Alligator mississippiensis: one gene and its partners. The protein of the gene in region 1 interacts with the protein of each later gene in a pairwise test. Links are inferred from orthologs where the notes say so. Each region holds a gene or a part of one and is shown in the gene's direction. Other genes may lie near its edges. The genes, in order: BHLHE40, SMYD1, HIVEP1 and RHOBTB3.

Region 1 (7,869 bases):
TATTCTCTAATCAGACACAAGTGCCAATGATTTTAGGAACTTTGCATCCCAAAATTCCCATTTTCGTAATTATGAGGGAAACTGCTCTGGAGGAGAAAGCTCCATGCACTCAGTTCCTTTAGCCAGCCCTTGCACACCTTGGAAAACAACATCCAAGCCCTTCCTTGCTAATGTATCTGTAAATAACTACAAATCCCCATTGGACACGAGCTGTTGCTATCCTATGATACTCAAATGCTCTAAAACTACCATTCAAAAGGCCAGATTCTCCCTTAATGGCTCTGGAAAATAATGCCAGTTCTTTTACCATTTTGCTTTAGTCCCTATGAGGTGTCATAAAAGAACCTGCCATGGAGAGGGAGCTCTGCAAACAAAACTGTGGCAGCAAATTGATAACCTCATCAGCCTTAGTTTATGGAAGCAGAAGCAGTAGCTCGACAGAAGAGTGTAATTCAATTCTCCCTCAATCGAACTTGATGCCCAAGAATGTAATAACTTCATGAGGGGCCCTCTTTTTAGGGGGATCTTTGCCAACCACCCTTAAGGTCATCAGTAAATCCTGATACAGAGTATTGTTTGGCAAGCGTACGCCCGGTAAAAGGGCTAAATCATGGGGGATTACTTCTGACCCTGCTTTGTAGCTCACCACCCATTGCAGGAATGCACTAAATATCTCTCAGAGCAGGCAAAAGTCAAACAGCCCACGTGCATGCATTGGCCCGCATCTATTTTGACTTTAAACATAAAACTCAGAACGAAGAAAAAATAGCAAACCCTGACCCTAAAAGTTGGACCTTGCCATAAGAAGCCTGCTGCTATGAACCTTAATTATTCCTATGCTTTGATAAAGAAACATTTTAGATGGTGAAACAAGACTAGTAGGTTAAACTCATTTCTCATTTCCTCCTCAGTGTCACAACAAGCAGCTTAGATCTTTAAAACAAAGAGTTTTACTTTTCATTATTTATGCAGTTTGCTTTACATATTTATCGCAGTTGTAGTAATTAACAGCCAATGAGTCAACCTCACTTTTGTGACAGTTATTACCAAATGTATTTAAGTGCCACCCTGGGAAACATTAATAAAGACAATCTCTGCTCTGAAGAGCTTACAATTGAAGGTCCTGGCCCTACATGCTTAATTCTCAGCACATGAGTAACTCCTTTCAAGTCAACGCAACTACCTTGGCACTTAAACATATAAGTGTCTGCCACATCATGTCTTAAGGGCCAAGACCTGAAGATGTTTGAAATGAGTGGCTGGCCATGGCAATGAATGCTAGGCTGGGTCATACAGTTTCAGGCTGGAGCTATGAAACACAGATGAGACCAGATCCCCACAGCATAGTTTTGTTTTGATGCTCTCAGTCACTACCACCACGGGCTCATTGTTTAAGCAGTGGATACCGCAGGGGTCTTGTAACTACGGTTTCTAGAAAACTGACCTCTGGGGCCTAGCAAGAGTAGAGTCAACTGAATCACCCTCTGAAGTCACAGGTCAACAGTACTAAACTCTCTTAAGGCTTCTCATGCAACCACACACTCATCCAATGATGGTGTACTTTGAAACGAACATGCCACCTATACTAGCATAAAACATTATCTCTGTTCACCAGCAAAGCAGTTGTTGACCTCATGCTCCTGACGGTCCCAGGAGCCACAGGATGAGATAGGGAAACCTTTGACAAACTTTCCGTGCCAAGTTTTGTTAGCACCTTATCTGGATAAATATACCTTGTGTCTTGTGAGCTTGCCTCTACTTGTGCCACGTGCAGCAAGGAAAATGATCCCAGCCCTCCAAATCAATAGGTTGCTTTGGCAGCTACACCACCATAAGCACTGTTAGCATTTGCATAATAGCTGGCATCTGAGAATCAAAGAGATCAAAGAGTTAAACCTTCCCAAACCCCACTAAGATAGGTAAGTCCTGCTACTTACTTGCAATGCTTTCATGGCTGGCCCTGCTCTTGCCTATTTTGTTCCTGGACTTGTGGAGTTTGGATGCTTTTCAGGGGTCTTCCTGGCTCTCCACTTAAGACCTCGTGTATACTTAAAGGTTTTGCCAAATTTGCTGTTCCTGTGTGGTTAAAGCAGTACCATTTCTGGCCCCTCTTTCCCCCCCACAACATAGTAGTGAAGCCACAGTTTTCTTGCATACAGATGTTTATTGCAGTTCAGTGAAGGGAAATAAACCATGCTGGAATATGGTCTCCATATTCAGGATATTTACCCGTATGCCCATACCATATAATGGTATGGGCATACAGGTAAATATCACAGGCTTCACCAGCATAGGAAGGCTGATATATATATATATATATATATATATATATATATATATAGTGTAGATGAGTCCTGAGCTACAGCAACCTCAGTTCTGTGGCCTCGCTTCCACTTTGCTTCCCATGGCTCTGCCTGTAGAGTAATGGACTTTAGCCATACTCCCATCCACTGCTACAATGGGCTCTGAGTGGAAAACAGATGTCCTCAAAGGCATCCATACCCAATTTAAGGCCCATATGTGTACCCAAACAGCATAAAAGGACCCTAGCTAAGCAGAGAATTGTGACATGAAAGCTTAAGTGATTTACAGAAAGTCCCATGGCAACCCCTGGCAGCAGTGGGACCAAAATCTAGAAGTCCTAACCCCCTGTCAGAACCCAGGATACGAGCTCCTACCACCATAAGGGCTTACCATAAATTGATACACATTTGGTCCTGCTTCCACCTTCAGTAAATGAGTCAGAGAAATGGATGCCAGGGCAACCCAGCTTCCTTTGTGAGCACTATGCCTCGCCTTCCTTTTTTGCATGAGGATTTCTGGGGCCCTCAGTGTCCTGCTCACGTTGCCAGTGAAGCTGTACTCAATCAGCCTTTGACCTCGCAGTGGTATCAGCGAAACCAACCCCTCGCCCTGATTTCTGTCCCTTTTGGCTCAGCTGCACTCCCCTCATCTCGCACGTCTTGCATGTTGCCTTGTTCGAACCACCAAATGCTTCTCTGCTCTCAGTGCCATTCCCACGCCTTGACATTTGGGCTGGGATATTCCCGGGCCAGCCGCACAACGGCATGTGGAAATCACTAAGGATGACGCAATGTGTTGGATCTGGAGCTGCGTTTTATCAAGCTGTTAGCCACTGGATTACTACAAAGTATAGACATTTTTTATAATAGCTAAATACATTGAAAACAGATGTAGCATGTTCTGCGTCTGTTCCCTCTGGAGAGCTGCCACGATTATGTAATAGCTCAGCTGGGGTGGCAAGTCTCTTTCAGTGGGTGGTAAAGCATTTGCCTAGGGTGACTTTGGGGCCCTCTCTCACTTATTTCCCTGCCGCTTGTGGCAATTTTTCAATTGAAAGTGCTCAGAAGAGTCATTTTTTGGCACTGTGTTTTATGAATGCCTTTCCCCCGCCCTGCCTTACTCCATTAAACACGGATAATAAGCTCAACACATTGCAGTCAGGTGCAGCCAGCGTGCTCTGCCTCTGCTGTGCTCCACAGACTTGGAGCCCTGCCCGCTCTGCTCAGAATAATACCCGGCGCTTAGCCGCTTCAAAGTGCTCTTACAGACGTCAACTAATTAATCTGAACAACACCCCTCCGAGGGAGGTGAGTTAGTATTACCGGCTCTGCCAAGCAGATGGGAGAGCTGGGGCACAGCCCCGAAGGGACCTGGCCAAGGTCAAAGGCGCCCGTGTCAGAGGAGGGAGGGCCGGGTTTGCTGGGCTCGGCTCAGACCACTAAGCCGGCCACACCTCTGCCTTATGTAAGATCCCAGCGCTTTCCCACGGGAGTGTCCCGTGCCCTCCGCACGACAGCCCTGGCGCTGGATGCCCTGCTCCAGCCTCGTGGGGCAGCCCTGCAGCCTACCCTGGTTCTCCCCATCCAGCCAAAAACACCCGGGGGGGCGCTGGCTCTGGCTGCGCCCACAGCCTGGCTCTTCTTTCATGGGCCAGGACCCAGGCTGGGGTGGAGGGGAACTCGTCCCCAGATGGCAGAGCCCTGGGCACTGAAGGGGCAGCTGGGGACACTGGAGAGGCAGTGAGGGGGAAGCTGGGCGTGCTGCGGGGACACAGAGGGGGCAGTGGGGGGACGCTAAGGGGGAACTGGGGGTGCACTGAGTGAGTGCATGGAAGAGGCAGTTAGGGCACATGGGGGGCAATGAGGGACGCTGAGGAGGCATGGAGGGTGCACTGGGGACTCACTGAGAGGCACTTAGGGCACTGGGGGCACTAAGGATGCACTGGAAGCACACTTAGGGTGCACTGGGGGCTCACTGAGATGGCACTGGGCACTAAGGGTGCACTGGAGGCACACTGAGGGTGCACTGGGAACACTAAGTGTGGGGGGTTGCACCAGGGGCACTAAGAGTGCACTGGAGTTGCACTGGGTGCTCACTGAAGTGGCAGTGGGGGGCACTAGGGGTGTACTGGAAGCACACTGGGGTGCCCTGGGGACACTGAGACAGTGGGGCACTGAGGTGGCACTAAGCATGCACTGGGGTTGCACTGGGGGCTCACTGAGGTGGCAGCGGGGGCACTAAGGGTGCACTGGAAGCACGCGGAGGGTGCACTAGGAGCACTAAGTGTGGGGGGGCACGTAGGGGCGCACGGGCGGCAGCCGCGTGGGCACACCGAGGCTGCAGCAGGCAGGCGGGCGGGCGGGGCGGTGCCGGCCGCAGGGCGCTCCCCCGCACGTTCCGGCCGCAGCCGCCGGCGGCTCGGGCGGGCGGGCGGGGGGAGCTGAGCGGAGCAGAGCGGTGTCCGCCACGTGAGGCTCATGTGACGGCAACCCTCCCTCCCTCCTCCTCCTCCCCCCGCCCGCCGCCGCCGCCGCCAGACGTGCCCGGAGTCACAGGGTAGAACACGTCGCTCCATCCACCCACCCGCTCCCATTTAACCCAGCCTGCCGCCTCCCCCGGACTCCTCACTCGCTCGCTCAGTCGCTGCCGACCGCGGCGGAGCGGCATGCCCGGCCCGCGCTGAGTCGAGCCGCCCGCTGCACCGGCCCCAGCCACCGCCAGCCCCGGCCCCGCCGCGCCGCGCCGCGCCGCAGCACCAGCCCTCCTCGCCCGGCCATGGAGAGGATCCCCAGCGCCCAGCCCCCGCCCGTGTGCCTGGGCAAGCTGCCCGCCCTGGACAGCCCCGACATGCCCGGGTAAGCCCCGGCCCTGCGGATGCCCCCAGCCGGGCACGGGCTTGAACCTGACCCCGGGGCGGAGGGGGCTGCAGCAGGGACGGGGCTTGAACTTCGATTAAAATTAACGCCGCTTTGTTCTCCCCCTGTGCGCAGGCTGGACTTCGCCCACATGTACCAGGTCTACAAGCCCCGGCGAGGCTTGAAAAGGAGCGAGGACAGCAAGGTAAGAGGAGCCCGCCTCGCCCGCGCCATCCACTAGAGAGCTGGCGCTGGCCGCCCGGATTTGGGGCGGCCGGGGGTGCCCTTTTGCTAGCGCGCGCACAAGGGTGGGAGAGAAGCCCGGACAGCTTGCCTTGCCCTGCCTCCAGGTTTCTTGGAGGTGGGACGGTTGCGCTTGGCGTAACCCGCGTCTCCTGCAGCGGGGGAAGGAGGGCAACCGAGTTTTGCAGGAGTTGAGCGATGCTTCTGCAAGGGATGAAGCCAGTCGAGCTCCCTGGTGACATCGCCGGGAGGTCGCGTTTTAGTTTCTAGATCATTTCTGATCGCTGTGTCTCTCCATGGTGCTAGGGACTCATTTGGGATCTGGGCTGACTGACTTAGCCACCTTTCTCTCCCCGCTGTTGGTTTGCAGGAGACCTACAAGCTGCCCCACAGGCTGATAGAAAAGAAAAGGCGGGATAGGATTAACGAGTGCATCGCCCAACTGAAAGATCTCTTACCAGAACATCTCAAACTTACAGTAAGTGAAAATCTGGCTACTGGCCAAGCTCCTCTTCCTTTTTGGGGTGCGTGCGGGTCTCCTGGATTTCTGTGCAAGTAAACGTGCCATCTAGAGGCTTCCTTTGAGCACTGCAGCATAGGCTGGGAAAGGCTGAGATTTGGCTGGAGTTGCCACTTTGATCTTCCTTTAGCATTAGATTTCCTTGCAAAGGCAGTGAATTTCTATACCAATGCCTGTAATGCAGTAGGGAGGGAGAAAGATAAGACCTGAGCTGCTGCTATGGTAAAATCGGGCCTCTTGTAAAGGTCATTAATGCACGCTTGAATTTTAACATCGTTCGGCAAAGGTTTGGGCATTTCCTTTTGGATCTTGGAAATGCTTCATGCTGCTCTTTGCAAAGTAGGACCAGATGCCAGTTACTAGACGATCCCTAATTTATCCCACAGTCCGGTCCTTTTAGATTTTGTTTCAATGCTACCTACTGCCAAGTTTTAAATGATTTGCTACATTCACATAGTGGAGTAGATATTCAAGGTAGCAACCTCTCCTGCTGTAGCATTCGGGACTTCTGGTTTTCAAAATATGAGTGTTAAGGGGCTGGGGGTTTTTTAAGTATATTTTTATCGCAGAACTTTATTGGGGAAAGCTATTTTGGTTGCTACTTTGCAGGTTTCCCCTCTCCTGTCGCTGTTCAAAAGAACCCTTGATTGGAGTCCCTGGTGTTAAGGTCACGATACCGGCAGGAGTAGCAGAACAGATAAATAAGATACTTTCCTCCAAGCTATGTAGTTGGTCCCAAAATACTCATAAGACATAACTACAGCTTTCTCTGCAGCCAGCACCACCTTGTTTTTTTTTTTATGGCTTACATAAACTGTGGAGTCAGAGCCACTTATTATTCAGGATAAAAGATTTTGCAGAGTAAGGACACTGTTAGCTCTCTCCCATGGCAGTAACTCTCTTTCATTTCATCAGAACTGTACTTATGTGTCCTTTTGTTTCCAGACTTTAGGTCACTTGGAGAAGGCAGTGGTTCTTGAACTTACCTTGAAACACGTGAAAGCGCTGACCAATCTCATAGAGCAGCAGCAGCAGAAAATAATTGCATTACAGAGTGGTTTACAAGCTGGTGAGTATTCAAGTCATGCTTGTATCACGTGAGAGTCCTAGTGTGCAGAGCAAACTCGCTTTCAGCTCCTTTGAAATATGGGTGACTTACGAGACTAGGTTTTGGAGAAGGGACATGTAAGCACATTCCCCCACTCCTTTAGTTACTCCTGCACCCTTCTCCCTGCAGCATGTATGTGTGCCCACATGCAGAAAAGATGCCCTATTTGGTTCATTTATACTTGGCCATGATTTTTTTTTCATTTTTCAGTTCAACTGAATATTAAAATATTTCATTTGGAAGTACATTTTTACTGGGCGGCCTAATCCAAAGATACACTGGCCAGAATCTTTCCATTGATTTGATGAGCTTTTACATTTTTTATTTATTTTTTTTCTCAAACAGACGAAAGCATCTGTTTAACCCACACTTTTTTGGTCTCTCCAGTAATCAGTTTGCCTACCCTTCGCAGCTTGAGGGGGAACCAGTCTAAAGGGCTTAATGATGTTCTAAATCTGTTTCGTACCTCCTTCTTTTCCGGCATTTGGTTGCATCTGGTAGGATAAAATCAGCTTTTCTAAGAAGGCTGCTACTCTTTCCACAGCCACGGGGTGTGCAGTAGAGTTACACAGCCAGAGCTGGCGTCACTTGTCAAAGTTTAAGCCCAGTCCTCCCTGGGGTCTGGAACTGAGGGGGAAAGTTTGAACTCTTGCACTTTTTTTTTTTTCCGATGGCTGTGGAATAGGTGTTTTCCTGATGAGTCTTTTTTGCTGTTCTTCTCAAACTAGCATCTGATTGCCACATATAATGAGTTGAAAAGTGAAACTTGTATGTGAAGACTCATTCTTAGATGGATATGGTAAAAATGGGTATTCAGCTTGACCGTAGCGTGAAGTCAG
Region 2 (7,097 bases), on another chromosome or scaffold:
CTGCCCATGACTGGCCTGAGAGCTGCCTGCAAACTGCTCCCCTTTGGCAGTCCCTGTTCACTGGCTCCCTGGTCACAGGCTCTCTGGTCACCTGGGGGGTCTCCTTTTATACCCTTCTGGGCCTGGGCTCACTCAGGCCGAGGCAGCAATCACACAGTCAGCAATCCCACAGCAATCAACAGTCACTTAGCACTCAGCGCTCACTTCCAGCTTCTCAGAGCACACACCTGCCAAACAAACAGACAGCCAGCTAAACCAAAGGTACAGGCAGCTGGATCACTTACCTTTTCTGGGTAGGATCTAGTGCCTGGCCTGGCTTCTCTCCCCCTCCCTCCCTCCCTCCTCTTGCCTCCAACAACTGCCTGCAAACTGCTCCCCTGTTGGCAGTTGCTGTTTGCTGGCTCCCTCATCACAGCTGGTTTTTTAACATGTAATGTTAAAAGAAAAGGTATCAAACTGCAAGGAAGTTACTAATGGACTTCTTGAAGGATCAACCTCTGGAACAATCTTGTTTAACATTTTCATTAACAGCCTTGACACTGTAGCAGGTCCAGTGCTGGGGGAGCAAAATCACCTCTCTGGGTATCTGCCTAAACTTTACTTGCCCCCTCTGACCTCTCAGGGTCCCACCCTGTTATCTTTCCTTCCATACCTTTATGTTATGATTGGACAGGGAGGGTGCCCCTAAGGTAGGGGAGTTGTGAGTGTTAGGCCCTTGTTTGGGCTGAGGCCCCCTGGCCTGGGTCCACTTTACTCTGGCTGGGCCCCTCCACCTGAGGTCCACTGTCTCAGGACTGTAGGCTCCTGGGCCCCAGCTCCAGCCACACCCTTGTAGGCTCTGGGCCTTTTGGCCCCTGGTCTCACCCTTGTGGGCTCTGGGCCCCTCAGCCCCTGGTCTTGCCCTCATGGGCTAAGGCTTGCACCCCCAATCCTTCCACTAACAGCAGCACTAGACCCTTTGAAGGGTCTAGGACCTGGTGTGTCCTTGGCACCATTCTCGGTGGCCTCCTCCACCCCTATAGCCACAATCTGGTCTTCCAGTATTTAAACACAAATGAAAAGATATGAGCATTTGCTCTCAAACAAAAGGTTCCCCATCCTGGATTAACACCACACTGTGGGAAAACCACCATGCCGGGCCCCAAAATACTTATCTTTGGCTGCCAGGTGTTGCAGGGGCTTCCTGCAGCATCCCTGCAGCCTGAAGTCCTTCCTCCTTGTCCGGTCAGGCCCTAGTCCTCCCTGGAGCTCTGCTTCCTACAGCCTGTGGGGCCAGACTGCCCAACTTGCTTCAGGTCCTGGGCTTTTATCTCTCTCTCTGGGGTACTTGAGCCACTACTTCCACCCCAGGCTTGTCAGTCACTGGCTGCACCTGAGGCAGGCAGGCATTTTATTCAAGGGCCTTCTGCCACCATCAGTTTGTCCAGGAGGCTGGAGTTGGCCAGCTGATCCTCAGCTCCCTCTCTCCTTCAGTAATGGGGTAGGAGTCCCATTGCACACACAAAATTGAGGAGTATGCTGACGGCAAAAGGTTAAAAGTATCATTCATATAGAGGTATATCTCATATCAAATCAAAACATGAAGCACTGAACTGCTATTGACTCATCTGTTTCTAACTGGTGTCCACTCTTCAACTGATGCACTTGCATTCATAGGAGTTGAGCATGAATATCAAGACAGATGTGATCAGCTTCAGCTTCTTGACTGGAAGGGATTCTTGTCTTTTGCCATTGCAGGGCTACTTCTTCGCACTCATAAGTTGGTGTGGTAGGGCACCAAGAGACAAAAGATATTGTAACAAATCCAAAGCCTTGGACTGCAGTTTCCCCTCTTCTGCACAGCGTGACTGCTCAGATGTTTGGATGGCAGCAGTACAACTCAGATCCTCTGCTTCAAAATCACAGACCCCCCCCAGTAGTGTTTAGCAATAAAGGTAGGTGTCTGGTTGGCTGGATAGCAATCAGAGCACTATTACAGATCACATGTGTGCTATGATTAGCCTGAATTTGCTTATGTTTCTGGAAGTAACTAGTTCATGCTTATCAGGCTCAGAACAACCTCGGAGTAGGTATTTATATTACTATGTGATTCCTATCGTTACTTCAGCTATTTTCACTAAAGAAGAATCTCCATTAACTCTTGGCTGCATATAAAGTCTAAGATGCAGAGTTGAGCAGTTTGGAAACTGTCCAAAAGATAGCAGTGGCACTCACGTATGCATGTGTACACACACACACATACACACCCCCCAGCACAGACAGATCTAGGAGGGTGCAGTGGTGCAGTTGCATTATCTCCTCTTCCCTCTCTTCCTGTCCCCACTTTGATTCCTGCTCCACCCAACTTTTAAACCAACTGCCTGGGTGGAGTAGCAGCATTTCTATTCAGGCAGCACTGAAGGAGTCCATTGACTTCTTGGCCCATTATCATTTCCCTGATTCCTGCTACTCTCTCTCCACTCCACGGTGTGTCAATGACTCTCTCTTTTTTTTAATGGTCCTTAATATTAACTTAAGTGTAGACATGGCTGATAGTGAAGTACTGGGAGCACTACTCAGATGCTCAAGATTTTGTTTTATGAATCTGACTAAGAGACATACATTTAAGTAGAATGACTACAGGACTAATGGCACAATATCTTTTGACTTATTTTAACTATTTTTGCCTAATTTGTTGTGTTTTTTTAAAAAACTGTGTATATAATCTATCAAATTAGCACACACTCCAATAATTGTATTTGTTTTTGCTTTGATCTTAAACTAAATCTTATAGTGCTAGCCCCCTAGCATACTAATAAAGCATCTAGGTTCTCTTTACTTGGAGAAAGATATGTGTTCTTTGATGCACCACATGAAAATCCTAGATCCATTTGTGTACACCAGCCTATTACATACTGCTCAAGGTAGATGCCACTCATCCTCCAACTCAGGCAACTTTGGGTGGGCTGACAGGTATTAACCAATTCATCTCTCGATCCCTCAGTTTACCCATCTGTTATGCAGACATAGCCCTTACTTCTCTCACAGAGGGACAGAGAGTCTACATACGTTCATGTGCGCAAGGCACTCTGAATTCCCAGTGATAGATGTGGTAAAATTACTGGGACCTTAGACATACAAAGTATTAATAAATAATACTGAAATACCAAATACCAATGCTGACTGGTTTGTTTTCACAGCAAGACTCTTCTTTCTGTTAACATCAGCAGAAATCTGGAGGGATCCCAGTGACTTCAGTGGTGTTATTTTGGTTTTACACTGATGGGTGCGGGTGAAGGGTAGAAACAATGTCCTATTTTATAAATCATTTGAGCTTGCTGGGGATATTATCCTCTTTTTACCTGCTTTGGGTCCAGTCCATCCTTTGAATTCCATGGAGTTGCATCGGGGATAAACACAGCCCTCAAGCTTGCTAGCATTTCAATGAGTTTAGTCTGTTGAACTCCTGACAGACAGCTAATATGTCATGCCTGCTTCTAAAGAGGCGCCTTCCAGCTCATTCCCTGCACTTCTCCAAGTCACTCAGTTGGCATGTGGCAAGCATCTCTCTTTTGTGCCTGTTTTCTGCAGCAGCAGATGGGGTAATTTTAGCCTGCATGTTTGACAGACCTTCCTCACCCTTGCCTCCAGCATATCTCCTGGAGGGTAAAAATAAAGCAGCATTGTTTGATTTCTGGAAGAACCTAAATGACAGTGGAAAGAACCCCAGACACACAACCCACCCACCACTTACGGCTGTCTCAGCTGTTGGCTCCTGATAGACAGAAGCATGTGGTTTCTAAAAATACCCTGTTAAAGTGAATGCATTCTCTTTCCAATGGGAGAGAATAAATTAAACTTGGTGGTCATAACATATACAAAAGCTTTCAAATGGCAGAAACAATGCCAATGAGTTTTTCAGATGGGCTTTTCCTAATGAAGCTGATGGCACTGGTAATGCATGACCAATCATTTGGCTTCTGTGCTTAGCACTGCATTAAGCTAAAGGGTTTCTCCCCCTCCCCTCCCTTCACCCTCCTATGGAAAATGGGTGGGGGGAGGAGGCAACGTAGTCCATATATAGGACTGGTCCTGGGTCAGGCTGAAGGTGTTGAAATAGCAGGAGTGACAAGAGAGTTGGCTCACTCGCATTAGGAGCTGGGGTTCCCTGACATGACAAAAGGGGGAATGGAGACGGTGGAAGTGTTCACGTCGGAAGACAAAGGCAGGGGTTTGAAGGCAGTCAAAGAATTCCTGTCTGGGGAAGTCATATTTGCGGAGCCTGCTTATGCGGCGGTGGTTTTTGATAGGTAAGAGAAAAGTTATTGTAAAGTAAATGCCAAAGCCTGCTCCTTGCAAAAGTCTGATGTGGCTGCAGCTGGTGTTAACTTGATAGAGTCTGGATAGCATCAGTGAAGGCTGAGAATCTGAGTAGTAACACTTCCTCGTGAGTCATTTGCAGCTTGCCACAACGCTCCTCTCATTAGGACAGAGTGATCATCCCGCTTGTGTGCCTTAAATACACTGTGACCTGCTACATGGACCTGAGCTTACAAAGTGCTCTCAGCTTCCTTCATTGTAGTTGGAGCTGAATTAGTTCAATGGACTGCAATATGAGCGATGCAAGTGCTGTTACAACGAGTCCCTGAGTTCGCTGTAAAAGATCCCACAAGGTGCTGCATGGTAGAGATACAGTATGTCATTGTGCTTTAATTGTGCATATGCCCCCTTAATATATACACAGAGAGAGAGGGCACTAATGCTTAAAGTCAAGAGGTCCTTAACATATTCATGTTACTGGCAGTTTATCAAAACTTGATCTTGCCTAGGTCTCTTTAGTCAATCTTTCACTCGGTGCCTCTTTAAAGACATCACCTGCTTCAAGGCAAATGGTTCGAGACAGAGAACTTGGGAATGTTTTTGTTACTGCTAAAATGGTTTTATGCTCATGCCTGAATGAATGAAGGGAAGCTGCTGTATGACAGTTATCTTTGTAAGCAGATATTAGCTTTTTTGGCTTTTGTTTAAAGTAACCAGCAAGTGAATCCTCATGTAAATGCATGTTTAGTTATGTTATTTGTCTCAAGCTCTTTATTTTTCTATAAAAAATTGGTGGATCAATTTTCTTCACAGATGTAGGCTTTGAGTACCTAATTCCGCCCTTGAGGTCAGTGGGTTCTGCCCAAATAACCTAAAAGCTTCTACACAGCAGGCCATATTCATATTATGTTAATGTGGGAAATCCAGAATAACTTCATTGACCTCAGTGGAATTACTCTACATTTATACGTGAATAATTGAGCACAGAATGTGGCCCAAACATCATAAAGGAGCAACTAACCTTCATGTGCATTGCTTTCGTTCTGTACTTCATAACGGTCTAAACATTTCTCAAAGCACCTTGTAAATGAATCCTGGGGTTGAATTCTGCTGAAAACCTCCAGTGACTTTCGAATAATGTTCTGTATGTGAAATAAGGCAGGACGTTACTTACCTACTAAAGCTTTCTTTGAAAAACATTTCTTTTAAGGAGCTCTAGGGTGGTATCAGACATTCTTTAGTTTTAACTGTCACCATGTAGTGCTTTGCTCGATCGCCCACAATTCAGTGAGCTTGTTTACTAATGCTATGTCATCAGGCAATATCAGAGAATTAATGCTGAATGAAAAAAAGAAGAAAATAAATGTGTGGACTTAGTTACGCTTGTATCTTTTCACTCGTTTTTTCTCTGTCGCTGTAATATCAGTGGGGGTACAGGAGTAAGAACCTAGGATAGTGGTAACAGAGATGTGGTCTTTATTTGCATTTTAATACGTCATTGTAAGAACTGCTCTTGGAAAAGGTGACTGCCACCACCATATAACCTGGACTTGAGTTATGCCTGTGTACCACTTCAGTTAGTCATGCTATGTCAATCCCTGAAATAGATTCAATTGACTGATGGACAGCCAAATCCTGCTCAGAGTGGGCGAGATTCTAGTGCTCATCTTTATATTAGCACCAATGCTAATTTATTGTTGAAATCAATCAGAGTCTTTCCATTACCTTCAATAGGCTTTGCATTGGGCCTTCATTTGACCCGAGGTTGCATTGGAAGCATTGGTTGGGCCAGTGGAACAGGTACTAGTTAACATGAGTAGGGGATGGCAAAATTCAATCCAATCTGCTAACTTGACTTCCATGGAAGTAGGACCAGAACTGATGATTACTGATTTATTCTTAAGCATTGTCTATGATACTGGTAATTATTCCATCCAACCTGAACTAGGCTGAGTCCCAAGGAGCCTGATTATGAACTAGGACTTTTATGAGCAGTTGGTGAATTAAAATGACTCTTAAAGAACACCCAAGTCCAGGAGGAGACAGCAGTGGATTATACACAATGCTCGGACAAGTTCTGTAAAATAAAATGGTTTGATTCATTACTTTCTCTTTAAATGACACTCCACATTGCGGCTAGTGTGAAATAAGGCAACTCCTTCAGGGCCTCATCTACAGATAGCTCATACACCCTTCGTGGGAGCCAGTTATGCTCATGCTAGAGGTCTGGCTTTTCTTCACTTGGGCATTGTCTACATGTACAAATGATGCGGGATGGGTTTACTTCAAAGTACTGTGGAGTAAACCTACCCCAGGCAGGCGTCTACACATGCTGGGATGTGGGAGCAGATTTGCTGCTTGTGGCAGCAGCCTGCACCCACCCCCTCCAGCCCTGCACCAGCCCCCTGCAGCAGTCAGGGGGAGTTCTAGGCTCACCCTGGGTGCTAGCCCTGGAGCTAGTAGGGGGCATGGGGCCAGGAGACAGCTGTCTCCTGGTGGGGACTGGGAGATTGCTCCCTGCCCCCTAGAGCTACCTGCTGCGAGGATGGGCTCTGCCACGGGAGCCTGGGTGCGGACAATGTCCCTCTGCCCTGGCTGCAGGGAGCTCCTGGCCCCGGCTCTCTAACTGGGGGCAGGGGGCTTGGAAAGAGCTGCAGAGAATCCACGCCCAGCCAGGGGCTCACTGCTATCTGTCCCACCAGCGGATCAGAGCAGAGGTCTAGGACCTGCCCCCCCAGCTTTTTCTAAGCCCTGCACCTCAATCACTCATTCAGGGCACGGGGCTGGGACGTGCCCCT
Region 3 (6,837 bases), on another chromosome or scaffold:
ATGTCTGTCTGAGGAAAGGTCCAGTTAATCATTTCCTGAGTTAGGGTATAATGAAATATCAGTAAATTACACCATACTCTCTTCCCAGTCTGTCCAGATACCATTCTTCCAATGACCCCATTTCGTAGCAGGAATGGCCATCAGCGGATCTCTGCGTGACTGAGTTCTTTGAGAGAAATACTGAACAGAACTGGTCGGAACTTTTTTCAGTGGGATGTTTTTTACCATCCGAAAATGCCACTTCATTGAACTGAAATCATTTCCTGGGAACCCGCCAATTTCCTATGGAACACAGGCAGGTTTTTATCAGAAACCTACCTGGTTTCTTGCCAGCTTGTTTCCCTGATCTTTGGCAGCTGGCCAGACAGGCTGCCTCCAAGTTGGGACCTGGGTTTTCCAGGATCTGCAGCTGCACATCAGTCACCTGGGAGACTACCCCAGGGCAAGCATTGTAAAGCCCTACCCCCCCTGCCCCTCCGCCCCACCCAGCCTTTTGCTTCCTGTTATGAAGCCAGCCTAGCAGCCCTGCAGTGGCTTCAGGGCTTCCAAGGTCCTTGTCAACTGAGGGATCTCCAGGCTTCCAGGATCTCTGATGCAGAGTAAGAATCTGGAAACCTGGGAGCTACAGCTGAGCCAGGAGCCTCAGATCCTGGGCTCCCAGACATCATTTTGTTGAAAATGTTTTCATTATATCAGTACAAAATATTTACAGTATTTCTTTCTTGCATTTAGAACTTTGTACCCTGGTTCTGAAATTATTATTTTTTCAGAACTTCAGAATTTCCCTCAAAACTTCCAACCAGCTCTAATAATCAGTCTAAGCTTTTCTCAGCTCCAGGTCATGGTGCGGTGGACAATATAAAAAAAATCTGTATTTGCTGCCCAGATTAACCACAGTGCCCAATTTTACCACTATGCTTTATGATCTTGGTATCTAAGAGCTGTGGTAAAGTCAAATATCGTATAGTGAGTTTTACTACAGTGTGGTAAATACTGAATGATTTAAAGACCCCCTCCTGTGTTCTGATTTTTCCTACTCCTATTTTATATATCTACCTGTTTGGCAGAAGGAAGAACAGCTTTAAATGTGCACCGCTATGCAAAAATATCTATTTGAAAGCATAAATTTAGTGTGTGTTTGTAGATAATCCTGAAACTGGAGTCCCTTTGGAAAGTACTGCAAACATTCAAGAGATTTGTGTTTTAGAAGTCTGTCCACCACTCTCACATAGGTTCATCTGAAAGGAGATTCTCTTAGATGGGATTAATATTAGATGTAGTTTTTAAAATATCTTAATTTTGTGATGAAAGAGGCTGCAGTGTGCATTTCAGTGAATAAAAATTTTTAAATGTCACTGCTTTTTTTTTTTAATATCCTTCCTTCTCAGGGTTGGGAGAGTACTTAGACACCTGCTAATAATAACCATATAGAGCACCATTCCTTGCATCTCAAAATGCTTTACCAGGTGATTGTATATATTGGTTTGATTTTACTAGTAGCAACTGAGACAGAAAGAGGTAGCGCCTTGGCGAAGACCACACAGGCAGGCAATAACAGACAGAAAAATAAATCTGACATCCAGTCCTTCCAGTTCTGTCAGCTGTGCCACACTAGCCCCCTGTATTCTAGAGCTGTGAGGGTCAACCATTTTGGCAAGTGTGCCATGAATTAGCCCTCCACGAGTACCGTACTGATCCCCTTTCCCCTACTTGATCAGCTAGGCTGCTTTCTGCTTCCTGTCCAGTGCTCCCTGCCCGATCCGCTGTTCTCCTCTTTGGTCCCTGGCCTATCTACCGCTGTGCTGGCTGTCCCCTTGCTGATCTGACATGTGCGGCACAGAGGCTACTCATTCCGTTTGTGGTGTGCGTACCACAGGTTGGCTGCCCCTGTTCCAAAGAACTAAATCTAGCCAATAATGGATACGAAAGATGAGAAGGGACCTTACCAGCAAGGTCTAGAGGCAAATCCCTGCAAAAAATCTCACTTCGCTTCTATCTGATGGGAAATGTCTTTGAGTCTCATCAGTGTGTTGCACCAGGACACTGTTTGCCACTTGTAATTAGTCTTTTAATATAGGTATATGATAAAATTCCAAATACCACCCTGACCTCCAGGCAGAAAATGGAGCTAGATTATAAGAAGTTGAGTATCTTTTTTTTTTTCTCCTTCCCTTGTGACAAGTTCTGTTGCTTCTACTGCATGTGATACAGATAGCTTCACCAATAATGTGAAGCTGAGGCGTGACTGTGACACACGCTCATCAATGTGCCTTAGCAATGTGAAACTAGGCTTGGAGTAGCAGTAATGAAACAGCCTTGTGCTTTACTCTGCTGTTTATATAAGCTAGGAGCAGGACAGAGACACTAGAGCTGTCTGCAGACTCGGAAGTATATCACTGTATTGGTTCATACTTGAAATTTATTATAAGGGTATTCAATAATGTTTTGCTTTTACAAAAGCGGAAGTTCTTCAAAATAGCGATGACTTAGGCCCTGCAGTCATCAGAACAGTTTTTTATTCACCACAGGCAAATGCATTGTTAAGCTCCACTCATTCCAGCTGGCACCAATTGGAAAAAATCATTTTGTCTGTACATAAAAGTGCCAAAATCATAATCTTGTAAACACGCAGAACTTCATATCATATGTGCTTGTGAAATTGAGATTTGGTTAAGCAACATATTGTCAGGGCTAAGAAGGAACATTTTTTTAAAGTTATTTTTGTTATTGTTCAATAGCACATCTGCCTTTTAAAGATGTGCAAGGGGTACACACAGATTGGAGCCCAAGGGCAGGGTTCGAATTAAACTTTGACTTTTGTTCGGGGGTCTGCAAAAAAAAAAAATGTAAACGGGTTCATTGATTAACATTCCACCTAAGTGAAGGAGCAATCTGATTGGAGACCCTCCCCCCCATGTTATGATTTTCAAATCTTGTAGGGAGCTCTTATCCCATATGGGGGGGGGGGGGGAGGGCTCAGCCTCCCTGAGCTCCCCCTTAATTTGCACCCTGCCCAAGGAAACACTGAACCCAAGCAAGACATCATTAGAGATCTTTCAAGTGGGTTTGTTGTGTAAAGACATAAACAGACAAGGTTTTTTGGGTAAATGTGATATCTTTTGTTCGACCAACTGAATAGTTGGAAAACTTTTCTTTGCAAGCTATTGGGCACAAGCACCCTTTTTCAGGCAGAGGGAGGGGCACCTGAAGAAGGGCATTTGTACCAGAAAGCTTGCAAAGAGCAATTTTCCCAACTATTTAGTTGGTCTAATAGAAGAGATCACATCTACCTGAAAGCTTGCAAAGAACAATTTTTCTAATTGCTTCATTGGTCTAATAGAAGAGATCACATAGTTTCATAGGTGCTAGGGGCTGGATCACTGGGTCCAGCCCCCCTGTACCTGGGGCTCCCCAAAGAACCTTGTCTACTTAGGTCCAGACCCAGATACAGGCATGGACAAACCGGGCAGCTGCCCAGGGCCCGGACAGAAAGAGGGCCTGAACATGGTAATTTGCTTCCCCGTTGTCTGATTTATTCTTATCATTATCTTTGGTGAAGGTGGCCCCGATACTAAAAGTTCACCCCGGGGCTGCCAGGGGCCTGGGGACGGTGCTGCCTGCGTTCTTAGCACACTACCCCCAAACCAGCAAAGGCACAAGGGCACGTGTGTGTGCATTCAGATGCAGCCTGAAGGGTAACCCAAGCTGCAAAGATCCAGCTGGGAGGGGACCCTACGTAGCAGTAAAAAAAGACGTGCCTTGCTTCTTAACAAAACAAAACAAAGCCGAGGCAAAGGCGTGTGCGAGAAGAGGAAGCAGGGATCCCTTGCCACCCGCTTCCCCATTCACGATGACCCGCACGCAAAACAGAGCGAAACAGCTGATGTCGGAAACCAATCACCGCGGCACAGCGGAGAAGCAGCAAAACCCCAGCAGCAGCAGCATCAGCAGCAGCAGCAGGCAAGGGCCAAAAAAGGGGAGCAGCCGCGGAGAGCATTAGGCGCCTCCTCCTCGTATTTCCTCTCACGCCCACTTCCAAGAGTGGAGGGGTTTTGCTTTCGGCGCCCGTCGCCCGGAGATGAAAAGTTAAAGCTGGGAAAGGAGTTGGCGCCGCGCGGGGTGAGCTGCTGCTTTTGATCTTCGTGTATTTTTTTTGGCCGGCGGGGGAGGGGGGCCGGTGTGGCCCCCCGCGGTGCGCGGAGGAGGGGACGGAGCGCGGCTGGGAGCGGCCGGGAAAACCCAGCGCGAGAGCAGGGGAAGGAGGACGCGGCGCGTGTGACCTGCCAGCGGCAGCGCGCAGGAACCTCCGGGATCTCCGCGTCAGCAGCAGCAGCAGCGGCAGCAGCCCCGGCGCTGTGCACGCATGGCAGTGCGTGTGTGTGTGTCTGTGTGCGTGTGTGTGCAAGGAGACGGGCCGCTGCAGGGGGGAGCGCGAGGCGCAGCCGGCGGGCCCGGCGCCCCTGGCTGCCAGCCGCCGGGGGCAGAGCGCAGCGCGGGGACTTCTCGCTGCGCGCTCGGCCCGGCTCCGCCGCACTTGTTTTTTGCCCTTTGTCTCTGCCTTCAGGCCCGGGGGGGCGGGGGAGCAGCGCCGGCTCGGGGGCTCCAGCTGCTGCTTCCCGGGGGCTCCCCCGCCCCTCACACGGGTCCCAGCCCGGCTCGGGGGCAGGGCCGGGGGCTGACGTGACTTGGACACCTGCACTGACAGGACCCCCCCCCGAGCTGGGGGGAGGGGCAGGAGGCGGCGGCGGCTCTTGGGGGAGGAGGGGGAGAGAGAGGGGACTTTAAAATTTTAGTTTATTTTATTTGATTTTGTTTTTGGTTTAAATGCCTGCTCGGAGCAAGGCTGCGCGCTCCCGCCCGCGAGGGAACCCCCTCGGTGACCCCTCCCCCCGCGGTGACCCTGTGCCCCCGCCCCGCCAGGCAAGGGAAGGGGGCGGTGCCGGGAGCCCCGATGACGTCACTGCCCCGGCCCGCTTCCTGCAATAGAAAGTGAGAGAAGGTAAACCCCCCCGCCCCGCCCCCCTCGGAACTGCCGCGTTCCCCCCCAACGGCCGCTCCGTGCGGGGGGTCCCCGCGGCCCCGCCCCTCCGCGGGGGTAGTTCCCTGCGCACAGACGTGTCCTCCCCGCCCCTCCCCCCGGCATGGCGGGGGCGGGGCCGGGGCAGCCCGGGCCGGGTCATGGTAGCGCTCGGCGCTGCCGGGGCGGGGAGGAGGTGCCGCCGCGCAGGGGTCGGGGTCGCCGCGGTTCCCGGCTGCCGCCATCAACCGCAGCAGGTTTGCAGCGGGCGGGGGGCAGTCGCCCCCTCTCCCCCTCCCCCCGCGCTGCCGGGGCCGCCCCCCGGGGGTGGGGGAGGGGCGGCCGCCGCCGGGGGCGCGGCGCTTTGTTCGGCGCGGCGCTGCGGAGGGGTTTTCCCGGCTCCTCCTCCCGGGCCCCGTTCGCGGCTGCTTTTCCCTTCGCAGCTCTACTCCGCTCCGCTCCGCTCCGCTCCCCTCGGCCGAGCACAGCAACCCCCTGGCCTGGAGCCCTCGTGGGGAAGGAGCCCTTTCACGCTCCCCCGGCCCCTCACGCCCCTGGGGCAGCCGCCGCCGCCGGGCCGCGGCGTGGGCGGGGCAGGAGGCGGTGGGACGGGCCCCCGGGAGCGGGTCTCGACCGCCTGGCGGGAGGAGCCGCGGGGCGTCCCCGGGCCCTGAGAGGTGCCCCCTGCCCGAGGGATCCCGGCCTCTGTTTGAAGAGGGCGTTTCAACATTCGTTGTTTGTTTTTTGTGCAATGGAGGTGCTCCCATGGGGGCGGTGACAGAAGTGGCAGATGAAGCCTTTGGGTTTTGAAGCCACCTTGGGCAGCAGCTTAACAGGGGGCCAAAGGGAGGCTTCGTGCTTAGAAGAAGTCGGGCTCCTTGCAGGGGTGCCTCACACTGGGATAGTAGAGGGTCCTGCCACCGGCTAGATATTTGGGGGGGGGGTGGGGTTATTTATTTATTTATTTAGCAAATGCAGATCTGTAAAGCCAAGTAATAGCCTCCTCCTTAACTGGTTTCAAAGCTATTAATCCATCTCTTAGTCTGTAGAGGGGATGCTCCTAGGGAAGGGTGGCATTGTTTGTATCTCTCCACAAGCACAGGGCGGTTCAGCGCTGAGGCCCCAGCGGTGAGGGTTGGCTGCACAGAGGCCTTGGCCTGCCTTGAACCTATTTAGCAGGGAGGTGATACCTTTTATTGGACTAACTGTATATGCGGAATAAAGTTAGAGGAGCTTTCCAAGGCTAAGTGCACTTCCATGCATGGTTGTTGGGCCCAGCTATACAGTTGGTCTAATAAAAGATATCCCCCCCCCCCCCCCGAAAAAAAGTAAATGCAATATCTTTTATGAGACCAACAAAGTAGTTGGAAAAAAGTTCTTTGCAAGTTTTCAGGCACCAACACCCCTTACTGAAGGTTGACGTTTTTGGCCACTGATATTGCATTCCATGTCACTTAGCTTTTTGAAGTGTAATCCCCTTCCCTCCCCCCCCCCCCCCAAAAAAATCATCACACTACTGGATGTAGTTGTTTTTATCTGGTACTTTATTATCATGACTCTTAGGAAAAGGGACGGTACAATCCAGCTTTTGTTTCTATAGCCAGTTCTTTCCTTCACACAAAGACAAGCATGAGAAACCTTTTAAAAGGAATGGCAACCTGGCATTGTAAATGCACAGCAACTTGTAGGCAACAAACTCTTGTAAACTGGTTTATTGATTTGCAGTAATGCAAATTGATGATGTCCTTAAAAAAATCAATTGGAAATCAAATGCATTATTTGTAATACCTTGAATGATAAAGATTCCACCTGCCTGCATA
Region 4 (7,618 bases), on another chromosome or scaffold:
ATTCTCTGGTGAAATCTTAACCTGATCTCAGTGTCCAATTTAAATTAAACCATCGTTACTTCCACTGGCCACAGCCTCTCATTGATTTTGCTTGATTCATCATGTCTATATAAAATTCTTCCGGTGTATTCTCCACTGCGTACTTGAGGCTGTGTGTTTGGGGATTGCATCAGGCAAAGTGGTTCCTCTTGTTACAGTTAAAACAGCTTTCTAAATTCAGCACAATGTTTGCAGGAACGTTGCCTTCTACTTTTAGTATATGTCTGCTTATATGCTCTCTCTCCCTTAGCATAATCCTTGCCAATGAAAAATCCTTTCCCTGTGAGGTGGCATTTTTTGGCTATATTTTTTGAGGCCTACTGCCTGAACGACCCTTTTTGGTGCACACAGCTCTGCAGCCTGGGCCCTCACAGTTTCTGCTCTCTTGCACATTTGGATAGTCTTTTCTAGTGACAAATCTCCCTAATACAATAGCCTTTTTTATAATGTAGTGTTTGTGATGCTACAAATAATCCTGTCTCTAATAAGAGATTCTGTCAAGTTCCCAAAAGCACAGTTCTTACTCAGGCTTTTTAGATCAGTAACATGCTGGTCTATCCTTTCTCCTGTGGTTTATTTGCACATTAAACATCTGTGTTTCCAGCATCTCATTCTTTTTTGGCATGCAATATTCCACAATTTTGGACAGGATTTTACTTAATTTCATATCTTTTTTGAAGGCAAAAGTGTTACCAGGTCTTCCTTCTCCACAGTATGCAAGATAGATGAATTCACTGTGTCTTTTCTCTTCAGGCCCTGTGGCTGCTAGGTAGTACTGAACGTCCTCCAGTTAGTTCTCTGCTAATATTGCCCAATATCAGAAGAGCAGGTGGATGTTGCAAAACTTCCATAACTAGCTGTCCTTTTACTTAACCTGTGGGTAGATCACTTATGGTGGCCCTTGTCCTTTCACGTGGCTCCGTTGCTTCACTTATTTTCAGTATTCAACTTTTTTTCAGTTTGAATCTCAACTCTTTAAAGTTCTTTCTCATTTGCCACTTCTGTTACCTTGTAGTGACCACCAGCTTCAATAAATGCAGACATACATGAATGAGAAAAGCTAAAAAGCAAGTTTTATTAAGCAAGTTCTACAGATCCCCTGTCTGGCTCTAACAACTGGCTCACTAGCTGCTACCTGAAAAGTGCAGACAGAAATGACATTTTTCAAGTCATTTCAAGATCTGGTCCTTGAAAGTGCTCCACAGCCGTGACTAACACACATGCATGGCTGCAGAGCACTTTTTAAATGGTCGATTGCACAAAAAATTAACCCTGGTTAAATCATGTATTACATTAAGGAGCTCAAAAACAGAGTGCCTGAGGGAATTTGTGTTCCCTCCAGGGTTAATTTTTCATGTGGGGGGCAGAGCTGGGCTGGTGCTCAGTCCCTCACCTGGGCTATCAGGGGGGAGAAGAGGGAGCTGCTGGCTGTTGAATGGCCAGAGCTGGGGGGAGGGAATGGGGAACAGGGCAACCCTGCCTCATGGCTGGGGCCAGGCCCTCCAGGGAAGGGGGCTCCATCTCCTCCCTCAGCTCTAGCCATCCAGCAGCCAGCACAGAGCAACCAGCTGCCAAATGGCCAGAGCCACGGGAGGAGTGTGGAGCAATAGGGCCCCCTTGCTTTGTGGGCCTGACCCGGCTCCCCCCAGTACCCCAGTTAGGATAGCTGTGGGGGCCAAGAAGCAGAAGCAAGGGGGACCAGTTCCCTGCCATTCAGCAGCTGGAAGCTCTCTTGTTGACAGCCCTGGGGGAGGGGCCAAGGCTGGGGAGAAGGGTGGTTTGGCAGCCTCCTGGAAGGCTGCTTGAGCCTGGGCCAGTGCCAGGCTGGCTCCAGCACCCCTCTCCTGATCCAACAGGCAAACGTCGTTGGGCTGGGGGGTGCTCTGACTCATGGTGCTTTATATAAAGTGCCATGAGATAGATTGGGGCCTGTTTAATGTCTGTCTGCACCCTGAGAGACCATCTCCCATTTTCCAACTCCCTCAGTCTCCTGTTTTGGAGCCTGTCTAAATTATAACTTCTGTCACTACACACCCGTCTTGGGGGTCTGTTTAATTTACAAGATATATCAGTCTCAGGCCCAGTAACCCTTCTGTGTTCTGGTCTTTTCATACAACTGAGGTAGTTTCAGAGTTACTCATCCCTAGAGTTCCTTGTTAATTAATTCATACCAGTGGGTCTCAACCTTTTTAGATTCTGTGCAGGCCAGGAGCAGTCCGAGGCTCTCGGGGGCGCGCAGCGGGCTGTGGCCAGCAGCCCTGGCACGCGGGTCGGGGAATGCAGGCCGGCGGGCTAGAATTAGGCACGGACATGTAGCGGTTGATTAAAGATTATTTTACTTACACCGTAGATGGTCGCGGTGCAGGCAGGAAAACTTGCTTGAGTTGCAGTTACAGACAGAAAAGAAGAGAAGAGGACAAGAGTTCCTTCCACGCGAACCTCTAGCCCAATCCGGTTGAAGGCTCTAAACACGCGAGCCCATCAGTGTCAACCGAAGAAAACAACTCGGAGAAAGAGCTCTGGATACACTCACACGAAGTTTGCTAGGCTCCGTGGAACTTGCGCGCAGGGAAGGGGTTCGTCAAGGGATCGTTCGGCGACAGGGAGAGGCCAGAGGTTGATCAGACCCCTATAGCCTTCTCAAGGTACGTGCTGGGTCCGATAGGCTCCGCAGTGCTTAGAGATCTTCACTAGATGTGAAGTTCTCCTCCTGATAGTTGTGGAGTCCTCCAACTTGGGCGGAAACCGCTCAAGCCTCTTATACAGCTAGCAAGCCAATTGCTAGCCGCCACGTGGGAATAATTTAGAACTGGCCAATAGTGGGACACAAATTTGCATGCGGGTGGCGGGAACTCCTTTGCACCGTGCATTTCTCTTTGCAACTGAGAAATGCACCCTGCAAAAAAAGCTCCTTGTGGCGGGAAATAATTTAGCAGTGCCGAAGCGCATGCACACAAAATCACACCCTTGGGTTGTGACAGATTTAAGGTACTTCTCAGAAAAAGTCATCTCTTTTCTTTTACTTGATTTCAGATTACAGAAAAAATACTCTGCTTTAGAGTACCATTTCTCAAACCGTGGGTCGCAAGAATACACGGAGGGGTCACAAACAAACCTAAAAAATGGATCAACAAACTTTAAAAAATGGATTCTCCTTTAAAAAGGAGAAAAACTTGGGAAACTGGCTTTTCCCCTGCAGGCTGGCTGAGTTCCAGGCTACATGGGGGCCCCCCCTGTCCCACACACTGGGGGCCTGGGTGCAGCGTGTCAGGAGTGAGGGGCACTGGGTCAGGATGATTACAAATGGGTCCTGGTACAAAAAGGTTGAGAAACACTGCTCTAGAGGATATCTAAGTGCAATCAGCCTGGAGTCGAAAAACAAGCTGTTACACAAGCAAAAGGCTGCAACTGGTCTCCTGTGAAGGCTCTTCTCATCTGGACTGCCTTTCTCCAGCAGTGCCAGGTCTTAAATATGAAATTATCATATTGGAAACTCTAAATTACTATCTTTGCTGAAAAACTGTTGTACACTGAAAAAAAAGGAAACAAGTCTGCAAATAAGTCTTATTTACTTTCTATTGCTCACTGTATCTCCAGTGAGTGAGTGAGAACTGGGTCATCCAAGTTGAAGCATTTCTGTATTTCAAGGGAAGCAGTCATAAAAAGTACAGACAGCAAACCCTCCCTAGCTTGCTCCTTGGGGCCGAATGGCTGGGGGAAGCAGAACTTGGGGGCATCCGAACCCCAAGCTGCTGGGCTTGGGCCTGCACATAGGATGCCCGCCTAAGGTTTTGGGAACATCAGAAGCCCCAGATGGGGGTGGAGGATGTTTGCCAGTAGTAGGGCCACTTACGGTTCTGGACTGGCCCTCAGATTTGGAATTTGTTTTGGCTAATTTGGCTTGGAATATGGAAAATTTAAATAAATAATGAAAAACCCCAGCAAACCTGAAAGACTCCCAGAGTGCCTTGTGTTGTACATAGGCCATATCAGTTACCTGCTCCGAAAATTATTGGGTAGCCAGGTTGTAGCTGTATTGGTCTAGAGGCAACAAGGAACCCGGCCTCATAGTAGAGGTGGTATGTTTTATTAGACCAACTAGATTTTTGCAAATGTTTTTTGCAGTTTTTTTTCCCCCCAAAAATCTAGCTGGTCTAATAGAAGATTATCACCTCTACCACGAGTCCTGCCTCAAAAAAACCCCGATCGTCCACTTGGAGCATGTATACTATTACTGATCGTGCATTGTACAAGGGCTGGAACAACCATTCAGAGGGGATAATTACCGCCCACCCGGCAACGCCGCCTTTGTGCCCCCTCCGTTGCTGAGGTCCTCTCTAGCCAGTTCAGCAGGGCTGCCTGGCCGCAGATTGGCTGGCAGTGAGCTCATGTATTTATGTAGCTTTTTTTCCCCGTTCTGCACAGCAGCAGCAGTGCACTGGGCAGCCTCCCTCAGCGCAGTCAGCTGCTGCCTTGGCCGGAGCGCCTTTGTCTTTCTGCTGCCCCGGCTGCGCGGTGTCGGCGCTGCAGAAATGTGCAGGCTCCTCATTGCGTGTATTACGCTCTTAGGTAGGGTTTATTGACGTCAGGAGGAGGCAATGGCTGAGCCCGCGGCTGCCGCGCTTGGTGCTGCAGTCCCCTCCAGCAGTAGCAGATGATCCGGGAGCAGGGGCTCGCGCTGCTGCTGTCGCTGTCACGTGCGGTTACACACACTGACTTGCAGGGGCCGGAGCACTGAAGGCCCCCGGGAGGCACTGCACCCCGCGGCACGACTGCTTGAGGTGACATCCGTGAAGCTGCCTGTGGAAATGGAGGAATAAAAAGCCAGAGGAGTTGGGGCTCTATGATGCCGGCAGGACTCTTTCCCCCCTTCCTCTCCTCTTGCTCTCGGATTTGACATCATGTATGTGGTTGATGGCTGGGTTTTTAGGAACGGCTGAAAGAAGAGGCTGGAGAAGCGTTTAGTAGCCTTGTTCTGATTTGAAAGGATCTTTTTTTTTCTTCCCTCCTTTGCTAACAGTAGATGTTTCTCACTTTCTCCTTATTGTTTTAGGTCCGTTCACATTGTAGCCTTTGGCAATGAAAGGGAGGCCTTTTCAGAGGAAAATCAGCAGCCCAGTCTGATTTGGACCTATCTGGGGAGAAGCGCTCTCATTTCAGAGACTGAAAGCAGTTTGTTGCTGAACTCTGCCAGTCACGTTGGAAATCCTGTTTTCACTGAGTATCAAGCCCGCGTGTTTGGAAATGTCAGGCTGGTGGTACATGACTGTCCCCTTTGGGTAAGAATCTAGGGTGAAACTTATAAGCTTAATTTAAAAAAAAATGGAGCTGCTCCTAATTCAATGCGGTTTTTATTGAGTCTGCCAATTTCACAATTGGAAACAATAAACCATTAGAAGTGGATTTACAATTTTAAACACATAATCACCCAAGGATATTCTCCCATAACCAACAAGATGAAAAGCCCCTTAGCAAAGCCACTGCCTACTGACCTATATGAGGAGGCAATATTTTCAACTCGCTTGTTTGGTAAAAACTGCATTGAAAAGAATCCAAAAGAAAACAAGAAACCTTTTGTGTGGCTTGAAAACCAAACTCTCTCTCTGAGTTATCAAAATGTTTTCATATATGCTTTGCTTTACTGCTGTAGGGAAACACTTGGAGAGGGAATCTGTTTCCCAGAAATAGTCCAGCTTTGAAAATTACTGAGACATTTTGTAATGGGGCAATTTGGAGTTATGGTGTATGAATTCTTTTTTTTTTTTTTTTTGTTGGTTCCTGTTTAAATGTGTTGAATTATCAAATGCTGAAAAGCAATTCCTGAGCCAGAAAAAGAGAGAGAAACAGTTTTTGATACTGTTCCATTAATTCAGCACTTCTGTTTGGAAGTAAATTTATTGAATCCTGAGCAAAAATTGACTTGTTACTGACCTTGTGAGTTTAATGGAGAACTGATGGGTTCTCACCAGATTTAATGTTTGTGATTATTTCAGAGCACTGTTCTTTAGGATTGTTGTTTAGTCAGATATACTTAAATTCAGTTTCATAATATTACTTAGAGCCTCGTCTTGAAATCCTTGCACACACAAAATTTCTCTGTAGAAATTCTGAGTGGAAGAACTCAGCGATCAGATGCCTTGTTCTCCAGTGGTAGCCATTGTGCTCTGTGTGTGTGATGACCCGGTCAACTAGAATTGAGGGCCCAGTTTTGAAAGTTTCACCTTGCATAGTATTTGCATGTGTTGGTCTGTGGAACCACACCTCACCGTAAATGCCATTCAATATGAATAAAGGTTGGAGAATGGATGTATAATGAGACTGGAGGATATCAATAGAAGAAACTGGAAGGAGGATTGGTAAAGGTAGGGCAAGGTTGTGTGGTCCTGGAGAGTGTTCACAAATTTCAAATGTTTGATTGACCTTTATCAGTATTTGAACTTCTGAGCTGCTGAAGAGAGAGCAAAATTTTCAATTCTGGAGGCTGTAGGTTTGCAGAAACTAAATATCAGTAGCAGCAGCTTATATTGTTTTGACACCTCCTCCATGTTTCCTGAAGTGCTATACTCTTCTATCTCCAAGCTTTCCCAGCTGGAGCAGATAAAGAGTTTTTAATATAGTGGGTATTTTTTTGCTTACTTGGAGTGGGTAGTTGTATAATTGGGTTCTCTCTACAAAAGGCTGGTGCTTGCTGTGGAAGAGACTGTTTTGGCTTCTTTAGCTTGCTCTTTGGACTGTTACTTAGACTTATATTTGATGACTATGCCTCTTCTGTGGGAATAGGCCTATGGAAATTATAGAGGTGCTCCTGCTTGTCACAGGTGATTTGGGACAGATCCAAATTGTTCTTATAAGCACCTCAATTTAGGTACTGCAACACCTGAGAATTACATACCTTGCCCCAGTAAGGTGAGCCAAACTAACAGGCTTAGGCATCTAGATACCCCCTAGGAAATTAGATGCAGGAGTTAAACCAGGTAGCCAGTATGCTAAGCAGGGAGATATCAAGAATTAGTTAATAGGAAATGCTGGAAATAGGAATGTGAAAACTCCTGCTTGTCTCGGGCTCAGATGCATGACTCAGGGCTGCACAAAAAGTCTTAGGCACTTCCATAAACTCAGGGTCCAGAAGTAAGGTGCCTTCCTGAACAAACACCTAATGCATACTGACTGTTCAGTACAAGATGCAGGACATTAGGGTTGCTCTCAAACACAGCCAGTGTCAGTGGTAGTGCTGGTGGCTGCTTTCTGCATAATAGATTGTTAGTTGGAAATGGGAGGGTGCAGAGCTTCCTCATTTTGAGGGGGCTGGAACCCACAGTTTCCACTTCCCAGGAGAGTGCTGTAACCACTAGGCAAGCCGCAATACAATTCTCTAATCAGAGTGAGTGCTCTTCCTGTTGAAGCTGTCTCTTTGGGCAGGATTGCTGATGTGAATTTTTTCTGAAAGTGCATGGATACTTCTGTCTAGGTGTAGAGGTATCTTTTCAGACCAGAATGAAGATGCAGATTGAATCTCTAGGCAGTTGATTGAATTGTAGACAGTAGAATGGGGTTGATCTGAACCTAAATCTAGATCATC

What was found.
Region 2: the proteins of BHLHE40 (region 1) and SMYD1 interact in binary tests that used the Homo sapiens proteins (3 or more experiments, as listed by UniProt). The link is inferred for Alligator mississippiensis from reciprocal best matches to the Homo sapiens genes BHLHE40 and SMYD1.
Region 3: the proteins of BHLHE40 (region 1) and HIVEP1 interact in a two-hybrid assay, tested with the Homo sapiens proteins (2 studies listed by BioGRID and IntAct). The link is inferred for Alligator mississippiensis from reciprocal best matches to the Homo sapiens genes BHLHE40 and HIVEP1.
Region 4: the proteins of BHLHE40 (region 1) and RHOBTB3 interact in binary tests that used the Homo sapiens proteins (3 or more experiments, as listed by UniProt). The two-hybrid records come from large-scale screens. The link is inferred for Alligator mississippiensis from reciprocal best matches to the Homo sapiens genes BHLHE40 and RHOBTB3.

What each region holds. Positions count from the first base shown.
Region 1 is NC_081835.1:11,999,764-12,007,632, forward strand, and holds the start of BHLHE40 (class E basic helix-loop-helix protein 40), read left to right. Parts: upstream 1-4,857; 5' UTR 4,858-5,079; coding exon 5,080-5,159; intron 5,160-5,294; coding exon 5,295-5,364; intron 5,365-5,772; coding exon 5,773-5,880; intron 5,881-6,867; coding exon 6,868-6,991; intron 6,992-7,869. UniProt on the Homo sapiens protein: Transcriptional repressor involved in the regulation of the circadian rhythm by negatively regulating the activity of the clock genes and clock-controlled genes.
Region 2 is NC_081825.1:14,314,497-14,321,593, reverse strand, and holds the start of SMYD1 (histone-lysine N-methyltransferase SMYD1), read left to right. Parts: upstream 1-4,081; 5' UTR 4,082-4,152; coding exon 4,153-4,289; intron 4,290-7,097. UniProt on the Homo sapiens protein: Methylates histone H3 at 'Lys-4' (H3K4me), seems able to perform both mono-, di-, and trimethylation. Acts as a transcriptional repressor. Essential for cardiomyocyte differentiation and cardiac morphogenesis.
Region 3 is NC_081826.1:132,223,350-132,230,186, reverse strand, and holds the start of HIVEP1 (zinc finger protein 40), read left to right. Parts: upstream 1-3,832; 5' UTR 3,833-4,119; intron 4,120-5,057; exon of another isoform or gene 5,058-5,274; intron 5,275-6,837.
Region 4 is NC_081826.1:239,081,153-239,088,770, reverse strand, and holds the start of RHOBTB3 (rho-related BTB domain-containing protein 3), read left to right. Parts: upstream 1-4,614; 5' UTR 4,615-4,940; coding exon 4,941-4,942; intron 4,943-5,092; coding exon 5,093-5,318; intron 5,319-7,618. UniProt on the Homo sapiens protein: Rab9-regulated ATPase required for endosome to Golgi transport. Involved in transport vesicle docking at the Golgi complex, possibly by participating in release M6PRBP1/TIP47 from vesicles to permit their efficient docking and fusion at the Golgi.